2 linked regions of the Macaca fascicularis genome follow. The protein of the gene in region 1 purifies or fractionates together with the protein of each later gene. This does not show direct contact. Links are inferred from orthologs where the notes say so. Each region holds a gene or a part of one and is shown on either strand. Other genes may lie near its edges.

What was found.
Region 2: the proteins of TONSL (region 1) and ASF1B purify together in Homo sapiens (affinity purification with mass spectrometry; 5 studies listed by BioGRID and IntAct, counting the BioPlex papers as one, with this or other methods). This does not show direct contact. The link is inferred for Macaca fascicularis from reciprocal best matches to the Homo sapiens genes TONSL and ASF1B.

The regions. Positions count from the first base shown.
Region 1 is NC_088382.1:154,145,086-154,148,733, forward strand, and holds part of TONSL (tonsoku-like protein), read right to left. Parts: intron 2,571-3,648; coding exon 2,498-2,570; intron 2,395-2,497; coding exon 2,231-2,394; intron 2,156-2,230; coding exon 2,032-2,155; intron 1,893-2,031; coding exon 1,132-1,892; intron 1,025-1,131; coding exon 948-1,024; intron 645-947; coding exon 491-644; intron 424-490; coding exon 345-423; intron 1-344. UniProt on the Homo sapiens protein: Component of the MMS22L-TONSL complex, a complex that promotes homologous recombination-mediated repair of double-strand breaks (DSBs) at stalled or collapsed replication forks.
Region 2 is NC_088393.1:14,539,875-14,543,193, reverse strand, and holds the end of ASF1B (histone chaperone ASF1B), read left to right. Parts: intron 1-478; coding exon 479-655; intron 656-1,517; coding exon 1,518-1,724; 3' UTR 1,725-2,676; downstream 2,677-3,319. UniProt on the Homo sapiens protein: Histone chaperone that facilitates histone deposition and histone exchange and removal during nucleosome assembly and disassembly. Cooperates with chromatin assembly factor 1 (CAF-1) to promote replication-dependent chromatin assembly.

The sequences.
Region 1 (3,648 bases):
CACCCTAAGCTCCACCAGTCAGCGCCAGATTCCACGCCCCCTGGGACAAGCTTTCTGGGAAGCTTCTCCAGCAGCTCCCAGCCCACGTGAGGCTCTCCTCCTTGGGCTTGACTTTCCAGGCTTTTGGCTGCTTTTTACCATCTCCCCATCAGCAGCTCATGGGGGCTGAGGGCTGTCCTCTCCCTGCCATCCATACTTCCAAGCGCAGGACACAGCACCCACCAGGCTGGGGGAGGTGTACCCCGAAACACCCGAGGTCCAGGAACGAACTGGGCTGGTGGAGCCTGTGTGCCCAATCCCCTTGCACGGCCTCACCCAGAAACTGCAGCTCTCCTGGCTCTCACCTTGCCCCAGGCTCTGGCAGGCCCTGCGGTAGCGGTCGGTCAACGGAGGCAGGTCCCACGAAGTTACCTCAGCCAACACCTGGAAGGCACCGTCATGAGTCACCTGGGGGCTCCCGGTGCCTAAGGCCCTGGCTCCCGCGGCTCACCTCATCATTGCTCTGCAGCACATCGGGGATGGGGTCCTGTGGGGCCAGCAGGGCCCCTTCTTTCCGTAGGGTGAGCCTGGGCAGCAGCCCACAGGTCTGGTAGTAGCGCTGGGCCGCCTGCTCGGCCAGCCAGGCCACAGAGTGGGTCTCACTGCTGCAGGGACAGAGGCGCTGCTGCTGCTGCCTGCGCACAGCTGGGGTGAAGCCCCAGGAACCCGCCATCCCTGCCCAGGGCCAAAAGCCCCCTCAGCCGCTTCTCCCACTCCCAGGTAGCCGGCCCCTCCTCTCCCTGCAGCCCAGCACACCACCAGCCCCTCTGCCATTCCTGGGAGCCACAGGGTCCTCCAGGAACACACCAGGGAGTCCTCGTCACCCTCCCCACCCTGATGTGCAAACATGAGCACCCTGGCATGGAGCTGCACAGGTGGGCTGCAGGGTAGGGCAGGCGACGTCTCACCTGTGTGGGACAGGGATAAGGAAAAGATGATCCTGAACTTGAACTCGAACCCGGATGGGAGGTGGCATGGCCAGACCCTGGCAGGTGAAGGCAGCAGGGCTGAGTCAGGAGCCACAGTGGGCTCCACCCCACACCTGCCTGCCCCAAGTGAGGAGAGGGCTCTGCTCCAGCTCTGCACACCCACCAAGGGCTGGCCTGCCGCAGAGCTGTCCCCACTGGGCTCTGAGACCCTGGCGGTGCTGGGGCTTCCTGGGGGTTCTGAAGACAGGCTGCTGGGCCCTGCCTTGACCGGTGCACTGCAACTCTGCACGCAGGTCAGGCGGACCTGCTTGGCTCGGGCACGGGGCCTGCTCTCCTCACTGTCCGACCCGGAGGTACTACTAGGCCTGCGGCTGTCCCCAGTGCCCTGGGGGCGGGGCCGGCGGCTGCGGGTCAGGGGCGTGTCCAGCTCCAGCCAGTCTCCAGCCAGGCACTCCTCCTCCGGGATGAGCGCTGCCTGGGGGGCAAGGGCTTTGCTCTGGCCCCGCGGTGGGTGAGGCCCCAGCCGGCTCTGAGCACTGCCCACACCCCGGATGGCTGCCTGGTAGGCTGCCCGGCTGTTGCTGGCTGCGGCTGCTTCCCTGTTGCTGGCAGGGCCAGGCGTCCGGGCTGCCACCTGTTGTGCTGTGGCCAAGCACCGAGGCCTCTTCTGGGACAGCCGCGGGGGGCCTGTGCTGTCCTCACCTTCCGAACTGCTGCTGCTGGCTGGCCCATGCCTGCTCCTCCGAGGCCTGGCCACGGCTGGTGCTGCCTGCCCTGGGGAGACCCTGGCACGGGCCTGAGAGGCCTCTGGGGGTCTAGTGCTATTAGAGGGGGGTTTTGGGCAGGGGCTCAGAGGAGGAGAGGTCTCAGGGTCAAACAGAAGGCTACTTGGGATGGTGAGGGAGTCCTGGGAGCTGTGGGGATCTGTGGAAGAGAGAATCCGTGTTGAGGCAGGGGCCCGGCACCTCCCATTCCACCTGTGAATGAGCATCTCCCGAAATCAGGGCCCGGGGACTCTCAGGGTAGGCATAGCAACCCTAGGGACGCGGGAGGCCCTGCTTGCCTTGGCCTGAGGCGGCTGCCTGGAGCAGCATTTCCATGGCCCTGGCCTTCTGCCGTGTCTCCAGGTCCAGGTCCCTGCGGTACAGCTTCACCCACTGCTGCAGCGTCTCCAGCGGGCTGAGGCCCTGTGTGGTATCAGTTGAACAGGAGCACAGCAGCCCCCATACCCTCACCTTTGCCCTCTGCCCCACCAGGCTCACCTTTCGAGTGCGGAGGGTGACGGACGCCCCCCGTTCAAGCAGCAGCTCAGCCACCTCAAAGTGGCCACAGTTGAGGGCATCATGCAGGGGGGTGATGCCTTCGCAGCCCTGGCCACCCGGGTCGTCCACTGCGGCCCCGTGATCCAGCAGGAAGCGGACAATTTCTACAGACCAGGAGATGTGAGCCCAGCTCCTGATGCCCCCCAAGGACTGACTCTTTGCCCCACGTGTCCACCGAGGTGCGCCAGGCTCCTGTCCCTTGCTCACCTAGATGCCCGTAGTTGCAGGCCTCGTGCAGAGGCGTCCAGCCACAGTAGTCCCGAGGGTTCAGGGGGTGGCCCTGTGACCAAGGACAGGAAGGAGCCTGGCCCTGTGTACGTCACAGCTTGGCCCCAGTCCCATGAGCTCTGCAGCCTGAGCTGGGCCCAGGGCCTCAGTCTTAGAGCCCAGAGCAAGTCCCGTGGCCCTGCCCTCTCTTCCTCTGGCCCAGGTGTCACCAGTGAAGGACATGCTTCCCCCTGAGACAGGTGGACCAGCCACAGCATATCCTCCAACCTCTGTGCCTGCCCGGTCCCCTTGTGGGCAGACGGTGCACCCAAATTGCAGGGGCATGAGGCAGGTGGGGTGGGAAGGTGCCCAGGTTTCAGCCCAGGGGCTAGCCCCCATCCTGGCCAGGCTGACCAACTTAGCTGCAACACAGATGCGTACCACACAGCGGGCACCCCATTTTTTTTTTTGAGAGGGAGTCTCACTCTGTTACCCAGGCTGGAGTGCAATGGTGTGGTCTTGGCTCACTGCAACCTCCTGGGTTCAAGCAATTCCCCCATCTCACCCTCCTGAGTAGCTGGGACTACAGGCGTGCATCACCACACTCAGCTAATTTTTGTATTTTTAGTATAGACAGGGTTTCACTATGTTGGCCTGGCTGGTCTCGAGCTCCTGACCTCGTGATCTGCTTACCTCGGCCTCCCAAAGTGCTGGGATTACAGGCATGAACCACTGCGCTCGGCCTGGGCACCGCATTTTTTGTGCTTTTTATTTTTGAGACGGAGTCTCGTTCACCCAGGCTGGAGTGCAGTGGCACAATCTCATCTCACTGCAACCTCCACCTCCTAGGTTCAAGCGATTCTCCTGCCTCAGCCTCCCAAGTAGCTGGGACTACAGGCACACGCCACCACATCCAGCTAATTTTAAAATTTCTTGTAGAGACAAGGTCTTGCCAGGTTGCCCAGGCTGGTCTCGAACTCCTGGGCTCATGTGATCTGCCTGCCTTGCCATCCCAAAGTGCTGGGATTACAGGCATAAGCCACTCTGCTCAGGCTCTGCTTTTTAAATTTTTTTGAAACAGGGTCTCACTCTGTTGCCCAGGCTGGAGTGCAGTGGCATAATCACGACTCACTGCAGCCTCAATCTCCCAG
Region 2 (3,319 bases), on another chromosome or scaffold:
CAACACTTTGGGAGTCCAAGATGGGTGGATCACTTGAGGTCAGGAGTTCAAGACCAGCCTGACCAATATGGCGAAACCCCAACTCTACTGAAACTACAAAAATTAGCCAGGCGTGGTGGTAGGCGCCTGTAATCTCAACTTCTCAGGAGGCTGAGGCAGCAGAATCGCTTGAACCTGTGAGGTGGAGGTTGCAGTGAGCTGAGATCCCACCATTGCACTTCAGCCTGGGCAACAGAGCAAAACTCCATGTAAAAAAAAAAGTCAGCCGGGTGTGGTGGTGTGCGTCTGTAGTCCCAGCTACCTGGGACACTGAGGCAGAATTGCTTGAACCCGAGAGGCAGAGGTTGAAAAAAAGAAAACTGAGGGCAGAGAGCATACTTTTTGCTCAGTAAATACATGTTGCTTGGGAATTTGTTTCTACTAATGACATAGAGGCATGGCTGTGGCACTGCTAAGGCCTAGGATGTGTCTCCCCTAGGCTGATGCCCCCAACCCATCCCTCATCCCAGAGACTGATGCCGTGGGTGTGACCGTAGTCCTCATCACCTGTACCTACCACGGACAGGAGTTCATCCGAGTGGGCTACTATGTCAACAACGAGTACCTCAACCCCGAGCTGCGTGAGAACCCACCCATGAAGCCAGATTTCTCCCAGGTGGGTCCTGTTTCCACTTCCTGCTTCCCACAAGGCCATTCTTTATACTTGGGGGGGAGTTCAGCCATTCAAATTGGGAGTCAAGGTTACTTCTTAAGGTTTTCAAGTAATGTTCAGTTCTTACAGTACTGAGTTAGAATAGGAGAAAAAGGCCTTTGTTTCTCAAAGGCATGTCTTAGAGAATTAAGATTAGATAGGCCTGCCTGGGCAACATAACGAGACCCTGTCCCTACCCCCTCCCCACCTCAGAAAATGAGTGAGACATGGGTGGAGTACTCTACTCTGGATGCTGAGGTGGGAGGATCACTTGAGCCCAGGAGTTTGAAGCTGCAGTGAGCTCAGATCATGCCATTGCATTCTGGCCTGGCTAACAGAGACTGTCCCTTAAAAAAAAAAGATAGGTCCTGGGCCAGGTGCAGTGGCTCACACTTTGTAATCCCAGCACTTTAGGAGACCGAGGCTGTCGGATCACCTGAAGTCAGGAGTTCGAGACCAGCCTGGCCAACATGAAAGCCCGTCTCTACTAAAAATAAGAAAATGAGCCAGGCATGGTGCCATGCACCTGTAGTTCCAGCTACATAGGAAGCTGAGGCAGGAGAATCGCTTGAACCCGGAAGGTGGAGGTTGCAGTGAGACGAGATCACACCATTGCACTCCAGCCTGGGCAAAAAAAGCGAAACTCCGTCTCAAAAAAACAAAAAGATAGGTCCTAGCCCTAAATCATGGTGCACAGGTGTTTTCTGGAGTTCCATATGTGGGTTGCTCTTGCTGGGCTTCAGATGGGTGATTGGGGGTGTCCTGGCTCTATGGGAGCAAGGAGAGGGCATGTCAACAAGGGTTGACGTTCCTCTTTCTGCCCCAGCTCCAGCGGAACATCTTGGCCTCGAACCCCCGGGTGACCCGCTTCCACATCAACTGGGACAACAACACAGACAGGCTGGAGGCCATAGAGACCCAGGACCCCTCCCTGGGCTGCAGCCTCCCACTCAACTGCACTCCTATCAAGGGCCTGGGCCTCCCTGGCTGCATCCCTGGCCTCCTCCCTGAGAACTCCATGGACTGCATCTAACTGCAGGAACCCAGTGTCCCAGCACACCAGGAGGGGCAACCAGGCCTCCCAGCAAGTCCTGCAGGGCCCATCTAGAGGACTTTGGGGGCCATCAGCTGCATCCAGGTCTGTCAAACTCAGCCCCTAGGAAAGAACAGGCCTCGGGACTCCTCTAGTCCTGGCCAGAAGGATGATCTCGCTTTTCTTGTACAGGCCTATAAGAAGCAGGTACTTCAGTTCTAAATTCTTTCTGACTTGTGTTCTTTTCGTCTTCATAAATTCTACCTAAGGCCATTGTGCCACTGTGCACCCCTGAGTACCACTGACCCAAAGCTTTCCGACAGACCTCCCTGGCCTGCCTAGAGGCTTTCTTGGTCAGTGCCCGTCAAGGCTCTGGTCCTGCTGAGCCAAAGGTTCTGTCATTCCTTTCTCTTCCCGTTCACTGAGCAGATCCACTCCAGCTTTCTGGTGTCACAGGCAGGAATCTTGGTTAGTAGGTAGACTTAGATCCCATTTCTGTCCTGCTCCCAGGAAGATTCTTAGGTCCTCTTCAATCCAGCAGCCCCTGGAAAACTCTGCTCCCAGAGGTGTGATCAGCAGGATGCTGAGGAACCATGTTGCCTTTCCTGTCAATCATAGCCACCTTCCTGTTATCTCCTAAATGGATCTGGCTTTTTCTAGTTGGAAGATGGTGTCAGAGGGCCTGCCTGCGCAGTCTGTCTCTGGGTCGGGGTCAGGGACCCTCTGCTTCTGGCAGCCTTAATCTTCTCTCTGCTAGGACCAGGGTGATTTCAAGCCAGGGAAGCAACTGGGACCCTGAAAACCATCCCTCCCCAGCCTGCTCTCCCTCTCTGTGCCCTGGTCCCCTTGCTGCCATGTGGATGCTGTTGTGATTGCTGTTTGTATATTATTAAAATGTTTTTATATTAAAAATGTTTGGTTGGTCTGAAAATTAAAAGCACTTGGTTTAGAATGATTGTTTGTGCTTTTGTCTTGTGTGGACTGAAGCAACTTTGTCCACTCTCCCCCAGAAGTGGTCTCATGACCTGTCCAGTGGGTGGGCTGTCCCATGTCTTCTTCCCAGCTTCCTACTCCAGTCTTAATTGGTTCTACAGTATTCCAGACTGAGGTTCCAGAAGAGGTTTTTGTCAAAATTTAAGCAAACCAGCTGTCCTGCAGATAGATTATAATCAGTGATTTTTCAGACTGCCCTTGACCCACAGGAAGAAATTAACATCGTGATCCCAACACACAAACAGCAATGCTTTTATTAAATTTTACTAAACCTTAACCATGTAACCATCCAGAGGCCGAGTGGTCAGCCATTTTCGCGTAATTCACAGAAAGGCTCTGACTCTCCCTCCCTGGAACCATGGTTGATCTGGGAACATGGGTGCAGACAGCGGCTGGAGAGGGCGTAGGCTGTTCAAGTCTAAGCAGCAGATCGGCTTGCAGTTGAGCCCAGCTAGCCCTTCCGTGTCAGGGTGACCTGACTTCTCCCCTCCCCTGACCCTCTCTTAAGTGCTTCTCAATCAGGAGCAGTTCGGCCCCGCAGAGCACATTCACCAATGTCAGGAGACAGCGGTTGCCACAGCCAGCAGGAAAAGAGGAGGGGC